4 linked regions of the Drosophila melanogaster genome follow. Changing the gene in region 3 together with the main gene of any one other region gives a genetic interaction. Each region holds a gene or a part of one and is shown on either strand. Other genes may lie near its edges. The genes, in order: nbs, armi, mei-41 and mus301.

Region 1 (4,928 bases), on a different chromosome or scaffold from region 3:
TTGCCAAGATTAGCAAACTGAGCTCCTTGCAGGCCGGCAAAAGTGCCATACTTTACAACAAACTGCGCCCCCAGATTGCTAACTTTCCGCAGGTGGAGAAGCACAAGTTTCTGGCGGAGAATCAAGAGCTTCCTGCCAGATTAGAACCTCCAACGAGAACTAATAACCAAACGCAGAAAGACGAAACACCAGACATTGTCCTGATACCGAAAAAAGTCGTCACCAAAGTAGAAAAAGCCAAACTGTTGGCCAAATCTGATGTGGGCACCATAATTGCCAGGAAGGAAACACCCGTTCAAGATACAAAGAAACCCACATTCAATGAAAACGTTCTGGCCACGGTGGCGGATGCACAGAAGTTCATTGAACGCGAGTCGCAGGCCAGGAAACTGAATCCTCCTCCAGAAAGTTGTTTTACCAGAAAGATAGCCAAGCACGAGTGGCTGGCCGCACAGACGATGTTCAATCGCAAGTTGTCCAAGGAGCCGGAAAAGGCGTTGAACATATTTCGCAAGTTTATTGTTAGCAAAATAAAGTAACTTCACAAGCGACGGTTAATTACGTTTAGGCACGACATTAAACACAGGTTACCATACCATCAGCCAGCCGAAGACTCTTAAGCGCAACAATTCGCTTTTGGGGATGAGGATTTTTGGTCTAACAGAGGTACACAAATAAATAAGTCGTTTTAATATTTGTTATTAATTCGAGACTCACCTTTACAAACTTCTTAAAGTTCTTGCGGCCGCCATGCTTGTTCACAGAATCCTCAAGAGAAGCATCCACTTCCTCCTGGGAGCGAATGACAATGTTTAAGTTGCACATGCGCACCTCAATGCTGTCTTTCATGGCGGCCAGCCATTGCTCCTCATCGGGATCCGCCTTAATAGAGGTTTCCATCTTAACTGAGTCTGCATCTATTTCGGATTTGATATTATCGTTTAGCCTGCTACACGATAACCAACCACTGATGTCCACTTTCTTGGGTCTATCTCTACGCGGTGCCACTATGTACTTGGATTGCTTCTTGCTTTCCGTTTCGGGTACAAATGGTTCGGTTAACCGGGAATCCTCGTCATCATGATCAGACGGTCTTTCAGAGTTGAAGTTAAACAAGCCATCCGTGGAGTCATCATTTCTCTGAGCCTCTTGCGTCTTTCGTTTCTTTTTGCTGTCTGCAAAGTTAAAAAGATTATCACAATCATCGCTGTCGCTTTCGTTTAGCAGCTCAAGGCGTAAACGCTTGCGCGGTTGTGTCTGGGATTGGGACTCCAATTGGGGTGGCACTGGAGCTGGTTCTTGTGCCTGTGATTTCTCTAGAAAGTCGACTACACTGATTCTGGCAGGTGCATTGCCTTTGCCTGCGATTCTTGGCTGAACCACAGTCTCTGCTGGCTTCTGTGGAGATTTACGGAATTGAAATAGGTCCCCTTCATCTTCTTCGTCACTCGAGGCCACCGATAAAACAGGACGTTTTGCAGGCACTGCATGTTTGTCAGCCGGTTGGTTGGTAATATTTGTGGCCAATGATTTCCCATTGAGTCGTGGTGAAATCCTGGTGGCAACGGGTGCTTCCGTTTTCTTCTTGGCCATCGAAGGGATAGTTGGAGCTGGCGTTTCTTTTGGTTTCCGAGCATTTTCGTTCTCCTCATCCGATGAGTCAACACAAAAAACCTGTTTGGTCTTCCGTGTTATGTGCTTACTCGCAGCTGGAACAGGTGGATGTACGGATTTCTCCTCAGCGATGGCTTTGCTCTGCCTTGTTACTCGTTGAACTGGAGCAGGCGCCGGAGCTGGTGTCACATCTTCTTCCAAAGACGAGTCCAACAATATGGCATTCTTTGATTTCATGGTCAGTTTCGTAGCGATATCCGATTTAGCTCGCTTAGACAATGTTGATTTCTTCTCCTCGTCCGAGGAGTCAACTGTTGAGGCATGACTCCGCTTACGCAAAGAAGCTTGGTCCTCCGAATGGGGCTTAGAAGCATCTTGTTCCATTTCACATTCAATTGACTCAGGCACCACCAGTTCGGAAATGGGCGTGGCATTGGATTGCGCCGAGTGGCGTTCCGTGTTGGGCACAATGATCGAAGAGTTAAAGGCCATCGAGGAAGTTACAGACTCCGTGGTGGGCAATGAATCGGAGATGAACTTGTGCGTTGGGTTGCAGAATTCTGTTATAGAGCAATGTATTAGGGCCATGCCAATCTCGTACTCCTGGATAATACGTCGACCATTCTGTTCCAAAATATCTAAAAATTATAATACATAATAATACTTAAACGCTGTGATGTGAGCAATATATTTACACCTATCTTGTATACTATTGATTGATTCAGTGGCCTGCGACTGGGACGATGGCACATACTGTATGACTATCACATCACTCTTTGTTAGGAATGTTTTGCGCACACCCGAATTGATGTCCTTGCACGTGGCTCCAGCCTTCTGCACAACTGATCCGTACATATCAAAGTGTTTGCGGTTCATGAAGACGAATGTCTTGCCGGCGAAGAGACGGGTACGCTCAGGACGCCAGGTGACATCTATGTTGGTGGGCTGGTAATCCTCCGGCTGAGGCCAGCCCTCCTTGACATGGATGCTCTGCGCTGCCTGCAGCATCTTTCGCCAGTAGGGGAATGTCACAATCGGCTTATTCTCGAGCATAGCGTGCAGTAGTTTCACGGTCACCGAAACTTCGTTCATGGTTAGATGGGAGCACTCTTCGGTCCAGTTCGAAGTGACCGTGCCGCCCATGGGTTCAAGCATCTTCGTGAGCTCCTGGACCTCGGAACGCGTTAATGCGGAGACAGTTGTAACCAACTTCAGTTGGGTCACCTGCCAAATGCTCATGTTTGCGCCAAATCGCAAGCGTGTGCCCACAGGCAATGGAGTCGATGTTTTGGCAGGCACCTTGCGCGGCTTTTGGGAATTCTTGGGGAAAATGAAAGTGCCATATCTGGAGCCAAGGTCCTCGATATGCAGGGTGTCATCGCCATCCGCTTCCGTTTGGATGAGCAGCTGGGCATGATTGCGACTTATACTGAGGTCCTGCGCAACAATTAAATCCGTGGCCAGGCGACCAATGGTGTACACCTTTTTGCCAGGAAACAACACAAACTTTTCGTCATCTATAAAGAGTATTTAAAAAATGAATAAACTAATAATCTCTGTGTTTTAGACCATTTTTACGTGCCTTTAGTCAAAACAAACATAATTTCAAAACATTAACAAATTCAACAAATAGCGAGCAGTGTGACCTTAGCAGATTTGCAAATTATCTACACAGAGACAAAGAAGGAGTGAGAATAATAGGCTACATCACTTTCTACATAATTTTCTAAGTTAATAGTTGTTTCTTAAATTGATTTTTTTCTTATTTTAGAAATCAGGATAATTTTATTATCGATCGACAAACGCTTATAAAGAATTGACAATATAGACTTTGGATTCAAACGTTTTTTTTACTGTTAAGTGACCAGCTATCGCTGCAATGATACCGGAGTTTCCTACGAACGACAAATTAGCAAGAAGAAGCATTTGCAGCCGGTTTGTTTTTGTGTCGTTTGGCTAATGAAAACCTCAATAAACACGATTTATCTGCGATAAATGTGAGTGAGGAAACCTGTAACCATGTCTCACCTGACCGGCACCCGCGTGAGCACCTTCAACGAGAGCTTCCTTAACGAAAATGAGCACGACTCGAATGCGGTGCTCATGGAACTGGACAAGGGACTGCGGAGCACCAAGCAGGGAATCCAGTGCGAGGCGGTCGTCCGCTTTCCGCGCCTCTTCGAGAAGTATCCGTTTCCCATTCTCATCAACTCGTCGTTCATTAAGCTGGCCGATTACTTTGTCAGCGGATCGAATCTGCTGCGCTTCTGGGTGCTCCGTGTTTGCCAGCAGAGCGAGAATCATCTGGACAAGATCCTCAACATTGACAGCTTTGTGCGCTGTATCTTTGTGGTGATGCACTCCAACGATCCGGTGGCGCGTGCTCTCCTCCTGCGCACCTTGGGCGCCGTTTCCCGTGTGATTCCCGAGAAGCAACAGGTTCATCATGCCATTCGACGTGCTCTGGATAGCCACGATACCGTCGAGGTGGAGGCTGCCATCTATGCCAGCAGCTGCTTTGCCGCCCAGTCAAGTTCCTTTGCCATCAGCATGTGCGCCAAGATTTCGGACATGATCGAATCGCTTCAGGTGCCGGTGCCAATGAAGCTGCTCCTGATTCCCGTGTTGCGACACATGCATCACGAGGCTACCACAGCGTCACTGGTTAGCAGACTGTGCATGGATCTGCTGCCCAAATATCCAGCCCAGAGCTTTGTGGTGGCCATCATAGACACGCTCACTCAATTGTCATCACGAACGCTGGTGGGAGTGCCCGGTCAGCTGGATGTTCTGCTGGATTTCATGCAGGACTTAAGGACACCAGTACGCATACAGGTGCTGCGATCTTTCAACGAGTTGGCCGGACGTCAGAGCGTTCATGCCTGGCCCAAGCCAGCCATCAAAGCGCTCATTGATCGTTTTGAATTGTGTACCAATTCCAAGGAGCAGTTCCTCTTCCTCTCAATCCTGCTGAAGTTAAGCGAGTGCCCGCTTACTTGCCAGCAGCTGCTTCGCGAGCATCGCGTAGCCCTGCTCCGTTTGTGCATCCAGTGCATTAGCAAGCTGGACGACTACACCACCGCCACTCAGGCCATGGCAGTTTTGTCGGTTCTAGTAGCATTTGGTTTAAAAAAAAAGGGCAGCGGCGAGCAGGTGGACGATATTCTTCATATGGTCAACCTGCACATGGAAGGATTGCTCCTTTGCACGGCCAAGCGGTCGGAGTGCACCCGCGATCTCCGTAGGGTGCTGACATACGGTATAAGGATCACTAAAGCCAACGCTGAATTTGGAACATCCTTCATTGGGATCGT
Region 2 (7,133 bases), on a different chromosome or scaffold from region 3:
CGCCAGTTTGAGCAACTGCAGCATTCTTCGGCGCTCGTTCAGCTGCGGCGAAAGGTAAAACAAAGGCCGACGGCTGAGTTCTTGCTCCCTCATGGTCAAAAATATATCCCGGGCATAGTCGGTGAGCCAGTGCGTCTTAGCCAGGCGCTACAAATTGGTATTTAACGAAATAAAGTCGGGTTCGCAAAAGTTAAGCACATGTCCGTTCACCTCGACATCTGCTTGCGGGCAAGTTTTCTTCAATTTGCGGTCGACGACGAAGATGTTCTGCTCGGCAGCCACTTTCTGCTCCATTGTATCGAAATTGAATGCAATGCCTTAAATCACCGATTTTAAGGCAAGAACTTAACGGCGGAAAAAAGCAAAACAAATGAAGGAGAAAACAAAAGGAGCGCAAACATGGCGCTACAACGGTTCCGGCCAGTGCTACCACACTGCGAAGCCAAACGAGCAGCGTTCCCAGACTGCGCTTGGGAGTGTTACCATTCGCTAAAATTAGCACATATGTACAAATATTTAAAACAAGTTTAATGATTAATTGTGTTACTTTAATTCATCAATAACAAGTGTTTTAATTTAATAATAAACTGTCATATGTGCTTAGTTCAAATCATCTGTAGTATTCAGTGAAGGCACGAATGTTTCCAAGCAAACGGGGACCTCATCTTTCTGATTTATCACCATTTGAGGCAGATCACAGCCAAAATAGGCGTTATTTTTGACACAGAACAGGATTAGCTGGCGCCAGCATTCGTCGACGGCCAGAAGATGGGGATTCCCGAAGATGATCATCATGGCACGTGCTCGGGAAACGGCCACGTTAAGTCGCTTGCTGCAACGCACGAATCCCAAGGAGAAGCGGGCATCCATGCGCAGGATCTCTTCTGATGAACGCACCGTGGATATTAGTATAATGTCTCGTTCCTGGAAATAACAAACGTTAAGTGTGCACGTAATATCGATTTTAGTTCCGACCCCACCTGTCCCTGAAACTCCTCGACGGATCCAATCTTCGGCATGACCACGTCGGTGCCAATGAACATACTCCGAAGCATCTTCACCTGCTTCTGATAGGGCGTGATTATACCGATCTGATCGGCAGTCACATTGGCACGGTACAGGGCGATGGTCATTAGGAACACCTCCCTGACCTCTTGGGGATTGAACCAGGAAGGGGAATCGTTATTTTGCCTGTTTTCGCCAATGATTCCGTAAAAGAACGTGCCGTGCGCTTGAGGGATATCCTTTTCTGACTCAAATACACACCGCAGTTTACTTAGTAGGCGAGATTCCCTTGAATCCTTTTCGGAAAGAACTGGGATCAGTTCGTCATCGTAGAATAGCCTGCTATAAATGCTCATAATCGACGGTAATGCTCGGTAATTGTACAACAATTTGGTTAGCACTAGTGGATTGTAGCCGGAGCTTTCGGGAAATCGCTGAAGATCTTTTCGATACGGCGACCGTTCCAGCAATCTCTCCAGAAAGGATATGGAAAATCCCATTTTCGAGGCAATTCGACTGGTGACAATAGACTGCAGCTGGCGAGGATCACCTGAGAGAACAACTTGAGAGCGTTTCTTCGTTAGCATTACAATGGGTACCATTGTTTCTGGTTCGGTGCATTGACCAGCTTCATCGAACAGCACGTGAGTGAAATGGCCCGCTGGAAACCCCAATTGTAAAAAGTTTCCCAAAGTAGTGCAGGTGGAGATGGTAATGCGATGAGTACCTATAAACTTAGCTTGACAGCGAAGCTTCAATCCCGATTCGGTGACCATCATCTATAGCAAATATCAACAAAGCCAAGATTAATTGGTGTCCAATCCAAATGATAAAATTTTTCTACTCACTTTGTCCTCGCAACTGCCCACAGCACCGACATCACTTGTGGCGCAGTAGCTCATTATTTCCGGAGGAATCAAGTCTTTCTCCACTTGATTGTACGAAACGAGGCGAATGAAATCTCCCTGGAGCAAAGCTTTGCTATCGATGAGCCTCTTTGTCACCAAATCCGCTGAGCTGTTCGACGGCGTTCCCACCAAGATTCGGGCACCAGGCAGATTCCTAACCAACTGGAGTAGTGTCTCAATAAGTGTCATTGTTTTTCCACTGCCCGGAGGCCCAAACAGCACATAAGGAATGTTCTCCGCTTCACCGCGCAGTATATTGAAAACAGCACGTTTTTGGATGGAATTAAGCGACTGATTATACCACTCTAATTTCGAATCGTACAAGTACATGTCGTCATCCTTCATATAAACATCCAGCTGGGGATTCTCGCGCTTGGTTACTTTGCTGGGAAACAAGAAATCCTCGCCCATTACTCCTACAATTTTGGAGATGGCATGGTGTTGCTTGCGAAAACTGTAGCGTGAGAAATAGAACTCTAGTCGATAGTCCTCGCCATTATATTTCTCCTGGAAACTGGAATGGAATTTGAGTAAAATGCGATCGAAGAGCACCTTATGGATAATGCCCTCGTATGACTTGGTGGTCTGGGAATCGGGATCCGACCAGGGATTAATGACTCGCAGTGTATCGCCAATGACCAGCGACGGTCGACGCTCGGCTAGATTCTCGATCTGCAGCGTGAGGAACTCTCCGTCACGCAGAAAGTGTGCTCGGTCTCTGTCGTAGTTGCGAAAGTTGACGAAGCACTCGATCTCCTCGAGGTGTAGGAGCAATCTGAAACGGTGCATATAGGTTTTAATGCTTAGGGGTTCCGTGAGGAATGAATAGTGCTGCTCGATGGCCTTGATCATCTCTTGTCGCCGTTCACTAGTCAAACAAATTTGGCGCAATTCTTTGGGCACCTTAAAAGAACGGTAGTATTAAAAATAAGCATATTTTTTAATGAGAGGACTCCTTACTTCAAAGCAACCCAAACGCAGAGCAACAAATCTGCGCTTGGTAACAATTTGTTGTCCCGGGATTACATCCACCTTGTTGCACCAAACTTGGTTGGCATAGAACCGGGACCTCTCCTGGCTGTTACGACCGGGTGCCATCAAAGCTTCAGCTGCTATCATACGTTTCTCAGCTTCAGCGACTTCCTCCTTGGTTTTGCACACGATCACCGTGAAGACGCGCCTCACCTTGAGTAGATCGAAATTCAGCACGTACTTTTCGATTGCTTCCCCCAGGAACTGCGTATGGATCTCAAAGGTCACCGTTATTTCGGAGCCGCTGGATATTTCCTTTGATTCGAGAGGGCTGACCACGCTCAACTGAGACTCACTGTCATTGCAGACGGTGATGCTCTCCAGGCGCAAAGTGCGGTTTAGATTGTTGGTCAGCTTTAAAGATACGCTCTCCTTTTGCCAGAGCTCTGCGGTGATGAAACGATTTACACCAGTCACCGTCACTGCTTTTCCACTGCCGGATGATCCCATACTGCTCTGCTGAGTCAGCTTGGTAGCCCCAAAATTTTTCTCCAGCGGAGTAATCTTAATGGCGCGTCTCGTAAATTTGGACTGGGGAATTAAAACACACGTATAAAGAAGAAAATCGCAAGATTTTATGTTCCTTCTTTAACTTACATACTGGCACTCGATGAGATCGGCGAGCACAATGTCGCCCAGATGAAGATCCGTGCCTGTAGGCAAGTCTGTCTTTAAAATGTAGGTTTCCGGACCCAGCACAACCATGTGCACGTACACGCGCTCCACAATGCACTTTTCACCTTCCTGAATGCGGGTGGGAAACAACTTTGTCACCTCTAGGATTTCTCCCTGTTTGTCCACGAAACCGTCATCCAGCTGAATGTTGCACTCTAGGCGCACTCGATCTCCATTCGTTGGGATGAAGTTCATCTCGATATTGTCTAGCTCGACGGTCAGCTGTCCGTATTCCGTTTCGACGTCTATGGAAGATGCCAGACGCTGGCTAATCAGACCCAAAACGCTCCTTGTTTCGGTGTTAAAGAATGTCGGCTTTTCGTTCTTCAGGTTGTCTACAGCTTTTTCAATCTAATAGAAGTTAGGATTACAGATATTAAGCATTGGCTTTAACAAATGGCTAATAAATCTAATACCGATGAGCTTACCTCCTTTTGGCTTGTGTCCTCCCAGGAATGCTCAAGGATACTCTTCACCTTGACCACCCGCATGGCTTCCCCCGTTGTAAAAGTCAAATATTCCACTACACATCCGACGTGTAGATCCAAGATGATATCCTCTGCCACCTTCGTTTCGAATAAAACGTCTTTGTCGATGACTCCCCGATCGCCGTCTAGACTGGTGATCACTCCCTTTCTGGCGGTGCAGGAACTTTCTTTACTCACGTCCATTTCCGAAAGTCCATGCGTAAGCTCAGCGATCTTGTTACTTAAAACCCCATTAATTTCGTTTGGATTCGCCTTAAGCTGTTGATCCATCTTCTCCTCCATTAGTTTTTGGTCTAAAAAGCTATTCTCCCGATCCAAACTTTCCAGAATATCCTCCCGGTTACGATCCGGGTTCGTGAAAAACTTGCTAACGTATGTGAACATTTTTGAAAATGTTTCGCCGATAAATGCTCTGCCGTTCCTACTGCGCTGCTTTCTTGTCGAGACTCTCGTACATCCAGTCGGTTTCGCTGAGATAGCTCAATTCCTTGCGCAGATTCTGCAGACGCTTCAAGTGGTTCTCCGTCGTCTCCGCCGCCTTCCCGCCCTCGGTGGTTTCGCTCTGCGATTCCGCCTTGTCAGCTCCGATCTCGGGTTTCTTAGCCTGGAAATGTGGACCATCTGTATTGTAAACATTTGAGAACATACAATGTTACCTTCTATGACACCGAAGGCTTAAATATCCTACAATTTTCATTTAACAACATTTTGTTGTTTTACTTCTACGGACAATTTTTGAAATATTTAGAGAATATTTATTTATAAATTTAAATGTATTTATAAGAGCATATATAAAATAAAAAAATTAACATTTGTATACATTTTCTGTATGTTTTGTAACGGAAAATTAAAAACTTTGTGTTAGGGTTCTTGAATTCAATAGTGATTTGTTTTTTAGTCTAGGCTGTTAAAATAACTGCAAAAAAGCAACAGTTTGAATGGAGAAAAAGCAAACGAAAGTCTCAAGAAAAGCGACAGCAACAGTTACTCCTGCACTGCTTTCGTCTCCTTCTACCACGCCAAAACAAGGATGGCAACAACAACAAACTCATACCTCTGTTTCACTGGATTCAACGGGAATATTGGTGGCCGTACCGCTTGTAGATGCTTCTTCTTTGATGGTTATACTTCCGGATGCTTCGCTGGACATTGTCCAATCACGCGGATTTACCTTGGTTATCAAGCTGTGGACCAAATATGTGAGTTCCTTACCGGCTTTTTGCAAATGCACAGCCGGATTTGCTATTTGTACTCGTACTTACAAATATTCTTAACGCTGTTGAATTAGTAGATGCACTGCACTTTGAGTTTTAAGAGTTCAATGGGAAATAGTCATAGTATTCGAAAAAACTCTCGAGCAAAATTTTGAGCACAAAGCGTCTTGGCGAACTTTTAAGTGTGACCGGACTTAGCGGCGTAGAAAATATCCTTGGCTGTGGTATTTTCTTAAAGTGTGTCAAATTAAAGCGGTGGAATATGAAACGTGAGGAAGTTGCTTATGTATTTATATTTTCCTTATTTAAAAAAAGTTCTCAAAAATAAAATGAAACAAAAATGTAAAGTAAAGAACTCAAGAAAGTATATAAAATATCGGCAGTCCACATTTAAGTTTTTGTTTTTGGAATTTACCTCCTCACAAAAATAATACACACGAAGAACTTGTTCTTATTCTTTTATCTTTTTTTCAAGAGTACCTGTTAGTTATCTGTCACTTACATTTAAGAAATAAGCAATCAAATTCCAAAATATGCCAAATATCTTTCCGCAATCCGGAAAGTTTTTCGAGTATATGTGTAAAAAAGTCCATAGATGGTTTCTTTCTCCATAAATACCCTAGTGATCGATATTATTTAAGAGTATGTTCAATACTTTTCGCAGTTGAAATAATTTACCAATTAGGAAAACCAATAAAACCAACTGCCCTATGTCTGATGAGTAAGAAACTGAGCACCAGAGGCGATAAATGGTTCCCGTAAACAGCGCACGCCAGCGCCGAGGCCGCGATTCTATTGAAAAAGGTGTATATATATTTAATATATCTTTATGTACAACTATAGACTCAAAACAAAAATACCCCGCTCAACTGGATATTACAGGGTATAATCGATAACCTTAGCTCAGCCATTGTGATTTTCAGCAATCCACTCGCACGGTCACACTGCCTGTCCAACCCTCCCGCACCGTACTACTCGACAACGTGCTTGTGTGCAGAATTTCCTCGGCTAAATAAAACCAAAAATTGGCAAAGCGCCGTGTCAGATCTAGCCGTCGATTGCACAATTCCGGAGCAGGACGTCGTCGCTGGAGCCACCGAAGCGGAGTCACCATCAGAAGATCACCAGCACCAGGAGAACCCAGTGGACAGTCCTCCTCTTTTTCTTGGCTGCCGAGGCGTCGCGTGTGCGTATCTTTCAGCGGTGAATAACCCACGGCTTTTTGTTTTCGGCCAGAGGAGGAGCGTGTTGCAGTCGCAAACGGGAAGATGGTTAAAGCTAAAAAGGGCAAGAAAGAGATACTGACCAAGGTCGAAGGCGGTTCCTCGGTGGACGAAATGTGAGTCTTGTGCAAGTTCATGCCCACCTGCCAACTTGGCAAACTTTCTATCGCAAATTATTCAATCTTACAGCTCCGATGTGGACAGCGACCAGTTGAGCCTCAACAACAAGCAGAATCATGCCCTGAAGGGCAATCAAGCTGGCGATGACGATGTTAAAGCCGTGACCAAGGGGGTCAAGAAGCTTAATGTCAAGGGAAAAGGCAAAGCAGGCAAAAATGACGACTCCGATGAGGAGGAGGTGGTGCCCGCCAAGGGCAAAGCTTCTAAGAAGTCGGCTTTTGAGCTGCTAATGGACGACGACGAGCAGGACGAGCCAGCTGCCCAGGAAAGCCAGTCTGAGAAGGAGGAAAAGGTAGTGGTCTCCAAGCCACAGAAGAACGAAAAGAAGGGCAAAAAGGCCAAACGCAAGGGGAAGGACGACGACGATGAAGATCTGGACAAGGTTTTAGCTGAGCTTCAAGCGGAATA
Region 3 (4,637 bases):
TTAGCATGCGCTCAGTCATTGGTCGCTTTTTGGCCGGCTGGTCGATGACCGCGGACGCGTAGGCTAGCAGAAACATATACTTCGGTTTGTGCTCGGGATTGATTTTAACGCCGGAACGAAAGAGCGCGTCTACCAGTAGCTCCAGAAACTGGGGGTTTCGTATCAAGTCGATGGGCGGTGGATCGGAACCGGAGTAGTTGCGAAACAGCACGGTGATATCGGCGGGATTCAGTGTATTGCGGGTGAGCATGGAAGTTAGGGCTTGACATGCTTGCGGATAGACTGCCGAACCATTCAGGGCCATTGTAATAGGCGTTACATTTTGATTGCTAAACAATGAAGCAAAAGAAAGGATTTATGTTATGACTAACTATGTGGAATCGTCAGTTATTTTCATACTTCTGCAGGGCGTATTTAATAATTTCCTGAGAGAGCCGCTTCATGTTGAACCCACCCTTCTGCTCCTGGCTGAGGACCTGGATGAGCACCTGGGAGTATACGTAAGTGTGCTGGCCATGGCAGACCATTCGTGCGCACTCCTGAATGGCACCGTGCACATCATCCGGATTGTTTAGAAATTTGACGATCGAGGTCTTTAGAACCCGCGAGAAAACCTCAATCTGCTGTGCCGCTGTCGAAATGGAAGTGATCTCGCTCTGGAAGCCCGCGTCCGAGATCAACTTGATTGTAAAGTTCAGCATTAGACAATCGGGATATTCTTCGGCCAGTCGGTAGATTAGCGAGCGCCACGTATAGTGGTCGATCATCTCGGTTAGCCAGTCGGGCGTCTCACCCTCCTCCGTGAATATGGTGTCCGCCTTCTTGGGATCGAAGGACTTAAGAATCATTTCCTTGAGATGATTCTCCACCATGGCCTGGACTTCGGTAACCTTGACGCCCGCCAGGATGAGCCATTCCGCAAGCAGGTTGGCCATCTGGGCCACCGCCTTGTAGTTCTCGGATAGCATCGATATAACCTCCTCCGGAGATCCGCCCGACTGAAAGTAGCGCTTCAGCTGCGTAAATATCCCCGGCTCCATGATGTAGTCCGGTGTGAGGAACTTCTCCAGGCATTCCTGTATCGTCTTCTGCGGATTGTCCTCAAGCGTTTCCTTCGATTGGGATGGGATAACATGATGTTTAGTTGTTATTTTTTATGGTTTATCTAGTAGCGTCATCAAATTGCCGGGATTGCCTGCCACGCCGTACACGCTCTATACTCAATTACCTCCGGATTGGTTTGTCCTTTGGCGCGGCCCTGCCAACCAGAGTCGTCGTATTCCACTTCCATTTTTTCTCAAAAACTTATTTACAATAACATAAAAATATTTTTCTTATTTTGATTAACTATGCATTTTTAGTGTGACTGTAAATTGTTAACCACGACGCGCACACCTACGCGGGTTATGCGCCGTTTACACTTAGCAAACTCTTCTGTTAATTTCATATTATGCAATGTAAATCTTAAATTTGAGGAGAAAAAGAAAATTGTCAATAAGTGTAAAACGCGGTAATGTAAACATATATTAACTAATTTTTTTTTAAATTAATATATGTAAAATCGCAGTTGGAACGTGGCTGTTATTCAAGAAAAAGAAGAAGAAGCTGCCAAACATATCGATAGCCACAAGTGCGGCGAATGCCGGCTTTCGTAAACAAAGGTCGCGTTTTTGCGAGTTTTAAATAAACTTGGCAAAATGTCGACACAACGGAAGGATATGTGGAAGTTGCTTTACAACCACGTAAACCGGAACGTAAGCAACTTTTCCGGCGTGTACAGCGTTATAGAAGACATATTGTGCCAGGAGCCGAGTCTGATAAGCTGTTCGTTGGTGCGGGAGCTGCACAACAAATTCCAGGACACATTCCTACTCTGGCTGCTCAACAAGCTGGCCAAGTGCCTTAGTGAATCTCCAGATAGCAGGTAAGATGAGCCACAAGCATTGGACTCCAAACTTATGACACACCGTTTTTCTGCTGCAGCGAGTGCATCAATCTTCAAAGGAAAATACTGAGCTCCTGCTGTTCCAATCATCCTAAGCTTTTTGAACGCCTTGTACTGGCCTATGTGGAAGCCATTGAGGAGACGCACCTTCAGCTAAGTTCCCTGGACCTCGGCCAATTGAGTAATGAGCGAAAACCCGCCATAACTGTAAGAATATTCCGATGCGATGTGGAATGCCTGCAGGAGTTCGATCCGCACTGCGCTATCGAGGACATCAAGGTGCCCCTTGAGCAAGCCGACATGTATGCCAAGAGCCTGCTGGAGGTCCTCCAGCATGCCCATCACATTGGATACGCCACGCACGGCGACATCTTCTCGGGCAGCCTTCATCAGGCTCTGCTAATCCTCAAGGAGTGCGACATGGACACAAAACTGGCCAGCTTGAATTACTGTCACAATGTCCTACGATCACAGTCGGCCAGCAGCTGGATAACAAATCCGGACGTTGGACATTATGCGCAATTAACGTTGGAGGCGACGGCAATCATGTGGTCGGCAGTAGCCAAGTGGCTGGACATGGGATGTATGACGCGCCAGGAGCTAAAACGGCTCAATATAACAACAAAGCTACTGCTAGAAGTTCTGCATATGCGTGCACGTCCAGCCCACCATCTTGGCTACCTGCTTTTGAACGAGATCCTTAGTTTGCCGACAGCCATTGAATTGGACGATGGACTGCTGGAGACCCTAAGTTCCTATATTCAAGGCCAGCTAGAGCATTCGGTTGTACCATTGGAGCAACTGGTGCACTTGCAGCAGCTTATGTTAAGCCATTGGCACTGCCACCCCACACATTTGGTGCCCATATTGGCGCTAATGGGCTTGAAACAGACTGAGATGCGCTCAGGAGTGGTCCAAGTGCTTACCCAAAGTCTCGTTGAAATCTTGAAGAAGGAAGAAGTATTGTCGAAGGATTGGCAGAAACTGATTGCTATTTTACGAGGCTTCAAGCAGCTGGAGAAACTAATTCTGTCACAGAGTCAGCATAAAATAGCTGAGCACGAAGGTCACATCGATTCCTCAGTTCTGGCCATGTTACCGCTGCAGTGTGAAATCATAAAGGTTGCGGATACCAATTGGAATAACCTTTCAATGCAGCTGGTTGAGCTGGAATCAAAGTGTTCCGCAGACCGAAGACACATACACTTGGAAATCTGCTCCCTTTTGATGCAAATCACCTTCATCCGGCACTTTTTAAAGACTCAAACGCAACACCAGCTGCTGGCCATTCTTCAGCGACATTTGAAGCTGTCCTACCTTTGCGCCATTCGCTTGGAGACACCTTCTAGTGTTCATACCCAAATGCAAAGCTTCTATGCCCAGCAGTACATGAGGCTATTTCAATCCGAGGAGACACAGGAGATATTCTGTAGCAACCTTCCGCAGTTGTACATATCGGGTTTCATAAAGCCGGAGCAACTGATGAAAGCTCTGCCCACCATTAACAATCGTAGTGGCCGCGCTCAAGTTATACGCCTATTGCTCTGCTCCCAGCCAGGTAAATTGAGTGTCTTTAAAGTCAAAGATCGCATTGAGCTATACTGCCCGAAATGCAGGCCACTGCCAAAGAAACTGCCAGGTATTTACCTCGGAAAATGCAAGCAACAGCTGCCATGTCCAGACTTTTCAAGCACCAACCTCGAAATGATAGCAAATGATTTATTGTTTTATCCCGATTTTGAATGTATTGCCCAGCATCTGGACCTTCTGTGCTTTGAACCCAATGTGATTCTTGGCCTGCTAAGAGAAACGGAGGCACTGCAAAAGGTTAGCGTTAAGGTTATCGGCCAGCTGGTCTCTGCGATGCGTGTGCGTTCGCCAGAATTCTTGGAGCAATTAGCCAATCTTGTTCTAGCTGCTATAAAAGCAATGCTAGCAAAGCCACTGACAGAGCAAAATGTGCTGCAGCAAAGAAGTATGCTCAACGTACTGACCGCCATTGCGCACATGGAGGATAATGAAATCTGGCTCTTTCACTGGTTCAAAATGACATTCTTCTTTCTGGTGCACACTCGCTCACTGGTGGCGCAAGAAGCTGTGCTGGCGGCCACCGAGATGTGTGCCAGCCAGGGTCTGCAGACGATTCATCTGTGGAACTGGTACAAGCGAGATGCTCTCGACCTCACCGTTCGCCTGGCTTTGAACGTTTATCTTTTGGATGGCGTACGCTTCACCCGATCCCTCCGAGCGGTGCGTAAATAGACGAACTTTTCTTCACTTCCCAAAATTTGACCGGTCTGTTTGCAGCTTACGAAAATGTTGGGATTCACGTGCGTTCAGGAGTTCACCTGCAAGTATCATCGCCTTCTGACTGCCATGGTCCTGCCGCATTGCATCGTGAATCCGCTTTGCAAGGGAGTTTTGGTATTGATAGCCAAACAAATGCAGAAACACATTGGCACCTTGTTCTCCATCTCGTTCCTGCGGATCTACACACACGTCTTCCTGACCGAGGAACCGGAGTTGGCCAATAGTTGCATCGAGCTGGTGGTCAGTTGCACCCAGTCCAGCCTGCAACAGCTAATGAATGCGGATGTCAAGGTGGGCAGAAGTTAATTTATATTTTATTATTTTATCTTTTATTTTATTTTATTTGATTTGGTTATCACTTGTAGCAAACGGTGGCCGAGTT
Region 4 (6,741 bases), on a different chromosome or scaffold from region 3:
TGTCGGCTGTTTCAAAGATAAAACAATATAAATATTGTTACTAGTCATATTAATAATAGCTAATTTATTTGTATACTTACCCTGCCGCACAACATGGTCGTTTGGAGATTTCGATTTGGAGCGCCTTCCCTTTTGTTTTGTTTGATGGACAATCACTTCGTCTGCAGAGTCTTCGTCACTGGAGGATGAGATCCGCAGTGTCCTTTTCGGTTTTTTTGCTCCAATATCTAAGTCTGAGTCTGAATCTTTGTGTTCATTCTCTAGCGGATAGGTCTGCGACATTTCTATGACGTCTGGTACCACCTTTTGGCTTAGCAGCTTTGACCAATCCGCCACCTTATCGTACAGCTCATCGTCATCGGAATCGCTGACGTAGACGATGTCGTCGTAAGCTTGGTTCGATGGAGAACCTTCAGGCAAGTTTCCCATGCCATTGGTCAGCAAGAAGTCTTCTTCGCCATCACTTACGTGCATTTCGGCCTTCATTTCCCTGATCACTGCCTGAGACATGGCGAAACTCTCATCGTATTCTTCCTCGTCGTCTACTTCCCGCTCTGCCGAAGGGTCTTCGGCTTTCTGCGCCTCCGAAATGCTCCTCCTATCCGTATCCGTGTCCAGTTCTATACAGTCGCCGTCGTGTATTTTTTTGCGGGTTATTTCATTGTTCGCGGTCTTGTTAGTTAGCTTGTTGTACAGATATGGATTTAGTTCCAATACAGAATTCAGAATAGCGTCACTTGGTTCACCAAAAATGTTTTGTATCTCTTCGGAGGTATGCTTTACGATTTCCTGCTTAACTTCTGTTAGTTTTGGTAGATGCAAATTGGAACTCGAAGGTAGTACTTCCTCTTCCTGGCCGGGGTCCTGTTTGCCGCCAAAGTTTGGTATTTGCTGTTTCAGATTGAACTCGGTGGGCTGAGTGCCAGTGGGGCATCGCACGGCGGGCAGTGGTGTTGTATCGTCATCGTCGGACGACAGAACGATTTCCTCGACTACCGGCTCCTTTTTCTTTAGGATGAATATAGCATGTATGCCAGTTATTTCATTTAGGTTGACTCCCGTGACTCCTAGGCTGATTGTGGAGCCCTCAGCTACTGCCAGACGGTTGATCTTGTCGCCCAATTTGCCCCCGTTGATGAAGAGCCCATTCAGGGGGTTCTGTGATAAAAGCATAAACTATTAAAAGCATGTACATCTTAGGTGAGCTGCAATAACCTACCAGAGACTCAACCTCAACGCCCTTTTCGCTCACGATGATATTGGCGTGCTCCCGGGACACAAATTGGTACTGTCCACCCAAGATTATCCTGCAACGCGAGTGGCGACCCATCAAATTAGTGCCGTTGTGCAGGATGAGCCGTGCGCCAGTGGTCACATGTTCCAGGTACCACACGCTGCTCATCCTGACCAACTGTTACGTTACACTCGTACTCAACTGAAGGAAATTGTGAAAACTGCTAACTTTGAGTGAAAATTGAACATTGAATGTGCGCGACGCTTCATGCACTTACTATAACAACAAATCTGCCAAGTGGTAGTGAATTACTGCATTGATTGTTGGATTTCTCTATGCAAATACAAAATTCCCGTAATAAGAAACATAAGTATTTCAATCTACTTTTTAAAACGCGAAGGTGTTCTGGTATTCAAAACCCGTATTAATTACGTTTTTTAAACTAGCAACAAGACGCACTTTTTGGTCAGCGGTAAACAGTAAATGGCAGTGCTGTTAAACGAATTAGGGGAGTGCAACGTTAAAGTACATTTAAGCCGGTTGTAATTATTTTGTTAGCGTAGCTCTTAAAATTTTGCCAGATTTTGCCTATTTAATAGGAAACACGAAAAGAAGAAAATCGTATACCGTAAATGTTATATTTATAAATAAAAGGAACGATCGTTAGGGAATACGACTTTATCAACACTTAAGTTGAGACACGATCCCGGTTATAAACTTGGCTTACATGCTGCAGCCCTGGCCTGAGTTTTCCTTCATTTTCACGCGAAGTTCACACTATTTCGCGCCAAATGGCAAATAAGCATAATTTGTGCAAAAAAAGAAGTTTGGATTTGAGCGAGGAATCAACAAGCGAAAGCCATGCCAAGCGTCAGTGCACCGAAAACCTCTTTTGGCCGGAGGGCGAAGACGACGACAGCTTCTTTTCCAACGCGCATCTGGAGGATTTGCTGGACGGACGAAAGGAGGAGCTCTTTGGCACGCAAGCAACCACAAGTACCAACAAGATGACGCAAAGTGGGTCGGATGATGGACTGGGACTCTTTGCGGACACATCCTTTCCAAGTGCACAGAGTGTTCCACCCAACAGTGCCTCTAAACCGGATGAAGCCAGTGCACCAACTGATAAACATCAAATCGACCTGGCGGACGAGGAAAACGCCGACAAGCTGTTTAAGAAAATCAACCTCAACGATCTGAGCATTGCCGAAATGGAGGATATTTTCCATGGCGCCGATGATTTTAGTGATCCCATGGTTCAAAACACACAACTCTTCTTGGACGCAATGACCTTTAAGAAGCCCAAAACACCAGAGAAGCTACTGGCCCCCCTTAAAGACGATTCCATGTCTTTCATTTCCAAATCTGTGATTGAGGGCCTAGTGCAGGGCACTCAGTATGTGACCTGCGAAGAGCTGAAGAACCAATCCCTCCTAGATCCAGTCAATTGGGAGACTCAGGCTTTTGCGGACTTCGAGAAGAATAACCAAGATATAGACAAGTTTCCCAGCAAGGGCGAATTCTATGGCCTGCCGGATAAGGTCAAAAAGATGATTCTGGAACACAAAGGCATTAATAGTCTTTATGGTATGACTGCTAATTGAAAACCAATATAAGCTTAGTTTACGATCCCATTAATTCCGCAGAATGGCAGGACGAGTGCCTAAATCTACCTGCCATCAGGCAGCGCAAAAATCTGATCTACGCTCTGCCCACAAGTGGTGGAAAAACTCTAGTAGCCGAAATCCTTATGCTGCGTGAATTACTTTGCCGCGAACGCAATGTGCTGTTCATCCTGCCATATGTGTCGATTGTCCAGGAGAAGGTGAGCGCCATGTCTCCATTTGCAATCGACCTGGATTTCATTGTGGAGGAATACACGGCCGGCAAGGGCAAGTGTCCGCCTCAGCCGCGTCGCAAAAGACGTAGTCTCTTCATTGCCTCCATCGAAAAGGGAGCTGTTCTAATGGACAGCCTGATAGACGTACAACGTCCTCATGAGATAGGTCTGGTGGTGGTGGATGAACTGCATTTGATAGGCGAAAAGGGTAGAGGGGCCACCTTGGAGGCTTTCCTTACCAAAGTGATGTTTCTAAATGGTAAGTGGATATTTTGTGGTACTTTTTGTACAGATTAATGGAATTTTTGTTTTCTAGCCAATATTCAAATTGTTGGCATGAGTGCCACAATAGGAAATCTCAGCGAAATATCCTCTTTTTTGAATGCTGATGTATACACCAGGGGCTTTCGCCCAGTTGAGCTAAAGGAGTACATCAAATGTGGCCCCGATTTGTTGGAAATAAATTCGGCTGGTCAAACGCTGGAGGAGATATTCGTCCCCAGTCGCAGTGTAGAGTACAATGTAAGGAATATTCGAATTAGACGTTTGGAAAATGTTGCCGAAAGTAAAAGATTTTGATCTAATTTTTATTTGCAGTACAGTGAAGCCGTCAAACGCGCCGATCCCGACCATCTGGCTGGTTTGATAAGCGAATGTGCTCCGGAACACTGCTGCTTGGTTTTCTGTCCTAGCCGCAAAAACTGTGAGAACGTGGCGCTACTTCTCAGTCGCATTGTGCCAAAGCATAAATTTTTTGAGCATCGGCGTAGCGAGAAGTTGGATCTAATGGATGCCCTGGACAAGATGTGCGGCATACTCAGCCCGGTGTTGGCGAAAACCCTACCCTACGGGATTGCCTATCATCATTCGGGCTTGACAACCGATGAGAGGAAGTACATTGAGACTGCGTATAGATTTGGAGTCGTCACAGTCATTTGTTGCACCTCCACTTTGGCTGCAGGGGTCAACCTACCAGCCAAGCGGGTAATCATACGTGCTCCTTATGTGGGTCAAGAATTTCTGACTTTGTGCAAGTATAAGCAAATGGTGGGACGAGCAGGTCGCGCCGGATTGGGTGAAGCTGGCGAGAGTATCCTGATAGCCCAGAGCAAAGACAATCTGCTGGTCGGACAAATGCTTTTCTCGCCTATGGATAAGGCTTTAAGTTCCTTGGATCAAAATGAGGCAGTTGGACTGCAAGTAAGTTTTTAATTAGCGAAAATTAGGTGAATTTTTTACGCAGATCTTGATGAGAAAGAAAATATTAATTTTGTTAAAACACTCATTTTGCATTTTATCGTTTGTTTAAACGTAAAAATTTCCGGAGTTTCTCTTATTTTATTTACTATTTTTTTACTTACACCGATGAATATTTCCTTAAATTGCAATTATTTTTTTAAAATCGCAGATTTTTATGTAGTTTCTTGCTGTCACTGACTTCCTAGGCGAAATCTGTTTAAAGACTGAAGAAGGGAAATGAAAAGTGTTACCTTTACATTTTTCTAAACAAAGTGACCGCGTCCTAACTACCAAATTTGGCCACATCCTACATTATTGCAAAATGTGCTTTTAATTTTGCTGATCCCTTCTATATAGATTTGTAATTTTTTTTTCAAATTGGCAGTAATGGGACAGAAGGCAGTTCTATCTCTTTTTATGCTTTTATTTGATTAATCCAAATTACGATATGCATAAACATAATATAATTTTTTTCCCTAGTCGCTTATTCTCAGCGTGGTTGGCTTGAATTTAGCAGAATGTCGTAGAGACTTGAATCGGCTGGTAAACAGCACACTGTTGTCTGTGCAGGCCAAATCCCTGGAGGTGGCCGTGAACGAGATCGTGCTCCGTATTCTCCGAGAGATGTTCAAAAATAAAGTGCTGCAGCTTGCCGAACCGCAGGCGAAATCTAAGATCAATTCTTCGGATATTATAACATCGCAGGATGTTAGTCAGGCAAATAGGCCCGCTGGCGATCGACGTTTGCTCATTGGACAGTCGACGCCATTTAAGCTGACCAATATTGGAAGAGCTGCCTTCAAGGCGGGCATCGACTACAAGCGTGCAAATGCCATTCACAAGGAGCTCAAGCAGGCCCAGCAGCAGCTCATTCTGACCAACTACTTGCACCTACTGTACCTTGTCGTGTGCTTTAACTCGAACGAAAGAGGAGACGAGTTGTTTCCGGCAGATGCCAGCATTCTGTTTGGAGTTTACACCTCGCTTCCACTGGACTCGCAGGCAATGTTCAAACAACTTGGATTTACAGAGGCCCATGCAGCTAGGCTATTTAAGACGCAGTCGGTGCAAGGTCCATTGTCCCTGCAGCTGAATCGCCTCTACAAGGTGCTTATTCTGGCGGATATACTTAACCTCCTACCGATTCCCTCCGTGGCCAGCAAGTACAACGTGGAGCGGGGAACTCTGCAGCATCTGATCAGTCAATCCACAGCAGCGGCGAGTGCCATTGTTCGCCTGTGCGAGGAGCTGGAAGAGTTTTGGTGCTATAAACCATTGTTTGAGCGGATCTTGCACAAAATGGATCGATGCGGCACATTTGAGCTGGAGCCGCTAATGGAACTGCCAGCGGTTAAGATCGTGAGTGGCAAAATAATCTTGTCCTTAACAGAAAAGTAGATATGACTATTCCAAATTGCATTACTCTTCTAGAATCGTGCCAGGCAGTTGTATGCTGCGGGTTTTCAAACCATTGGGGATATAGCCAGAGTGAGGCCGTCGCACTTAGTCCAATCCTTAGAGCACATGCCGCTTAGAGTGGCCACGGAAATTGTCTCGGCAGCAAAGGTACACGTTGTTCTTTTGATTCTGTAACCCATTTAATAAGCTTATATTGGATTCCTTCTAGATAATTTTAATGAAAAAGCTCGACCACCTGGAAGAGGAAACGGAGAACCTGAAGGACTGTTTAAAAACGTCTGATAAAAATTAGCAGGACGTAAACACAAGTAAAAACAGCAGCTTAAGTGGGTTTTAAATTTATTTCAGTTTTTGTTTTGATTGTTATGCACTCCGATTTAAGTCTTGCATCTGGGTTCTCTACAACGAACACGATCTCCGACGAAGCTTAAATATTATAGACAATTTGTATGCAAATTGCAGTTTTAAATTAACACATTAGGTATTTTTCATTCTATATGTAAATCAAGGACATCAATGCATATTTTCCTTATTGTTCTGTTCTGCTGGATATTTTATGTTATGCTTCTCGATTAATTGGACATAATCAAGTAGGAGGGAGTTATTTTTATAAACTACTAGATACGAGCTAGCAGACAAATTCGCAAGCTGCTACTATCACGACATTTGAGTATTATACAACGTATATATAAGTAGGGGGGTTCTGGACATATATAGCTCATACAGCAAAAATAGCATAATCGATCGAAGGTAAATTTTGAAAAGAGCTTTCTGCAGAATGTACCCAAAAAATTCTCAGATAAATGATTGCTGTAGGTTATCATCGGTTATGTTGTTTTTCGGCGGCTATTGCTTCATATGTCCCGAGCCATTTCGAATTACGAGTACGTTTTGTGCGGCTAAACGACTAAAGTAGACACAGATTTGTTTAAGAAGTTGGAGCCGTGCACCAAATTGGAACTCTCCTTGTGTTGGGGAAACTTATTTACAGCTGAAGAAACTGAAAACC

The links.
Region 1: of mei-41 (region 3) and nbs, changing one enhances a phenotype caused by changing the other (phenotypic enhancement), as found in Drosophila melanogaster (2 studies listed by BioGRID).
Region 2: of mei-41 (region 3) and armi, changing one suppresses a phenotype caused by changing the other (phenotypic suppression), as found in Drosophila melanogaster (2 studies listed by BioGRID).
Region 4: of mei-41 (region 3) and mus301, changing one suppresses a phenotype caused by changing the other (phenotypic suppression), as found in Drosophila melanogaster (2 studies listed by BioGRID).

What each region holds. Positions count from the first base shown.
Region 1 is NT_037436.4:9,719,909-9,724,836, forward strand, and holds nbs (nbs), read right to left. Parts: upstream 3,287-4,928; 5' UTR 3,216-3,286; coding exon 3,197-3,215; intron 3,132-3,196; coding exon 2,310-3,131; intron 2,253-2,309; coding exon 718-2,252; intron 658-717; coding exon 577-657; 3' UTR 540-576; downstream 1-539. Other genes in the region: CG14174 (uncharacterized protein), read left to right, coding at 1-539; defl (deflated), read left to right, coding at 3,634-4,928.
Region 2 is NT_037436.4:3,459,700-3,466,832, reverse strand, and holds armi (armitage), read right to left. Parts: upstream 5,517-7,133; 5' UTR 5,371-5,516; intron 5,293-5,370; 5' UTR 5,259-5,292; coding exon of another isoform or gene 5,163-5,258; intron 4,730-5,162; exon of another isoform or gene 4,713-4,729; coding exon of another isoform or gene 4,530-4,712; 5' UTR 4,493-4,529; coding exon 4,049-4,492; intron 3,972-4,048; coding exon 3,543-3,971; intron 3,477-3,542; coding exon 2,874-3,476; intron 2,817-2,873; coding exon 1,854-2,816; intron 1,785-1,853; coding exon 981-1,784; intron 925-980; coding exon 601-924; 3' UTR 519-600; downstream 1-518. Other genes in the region: CycJ (cyclin J), read right to left, coding at 1-147, 211-294; CG46463 (uncharacterized protein), read right to left, coding at 4,530-4,712, 5,163-5,258; eIF5B (eukaryotic translation initiation factor 5B), read left to right, coding at 6,591-6,661, 6,735-7,133. UniProt on the Drosophila melanogaster protein: Probable RNA helicase required for axial polarization of the oocyte during early and mid oogenesis. Plays a central role in RNA interference (RNAi) process, a process that mediates mRNA destruction of translational repression.
Region 3 is NC_004354.4:16,390,064-16,394,700, forward strand, and holds the start of mei-41 (meiotic 41), read left to right. Parts: upstream 1-1,634; 5' UTR 1,635-1,697; coding exon 1,698-1,924; intron 1,925-1,983; coding exon 1,984-4,195; intron 4,196-4,252; coding exon 4,253-4,546; intron 4,547-4,620; coding exon 4,621-4,637. Other genes in the region: TH1, read right to left, coding at 1-329, 400-1,112, 1,229-1,291. UniProt on the Drosophila melanogaster protein: Serine/threonine protein kinase which activates checkpoint signaling upon genotoxic stresses such as ionizing radiation (IR), ultraviolet light (UV), or DNA replication stalling, thereby acting as a DNA damage sensor.
Region 4 is NT_037436.4:8,135,812-8,142,552, forward strand, and holds mus301 (mutagen-sensitive 301), read left to right. Parts: upstream 1-1,996; 5' UTR 1,997-2,025; coding exon 2,026-2,821; intron 2,822-2,880; coding exon 2,881-3,333; intron 3,334-3,390; coding exon 3,391-3,596; intron 3,597-3,671; coding exon 3,672-4,274; intron 4,275-4,793; coding exon 4,794-5,672; intron 5,673-5,744; coding exon 5,745-5,879; intron 5,880-5,940; coding exon 5,941-6,024; 3' UTR 6,025-6,203; downstream 6,204-6,741. Other genes in the region: Setx (senataxin), read right to left, coding at 1-6, 81-1,158, 1,220-1,402. UniProt on the Drosophila melanogaster protein: Single-stranded 3'-5' DNA helicase that plays a key role in homology-driven double-strand break (DSB) repair.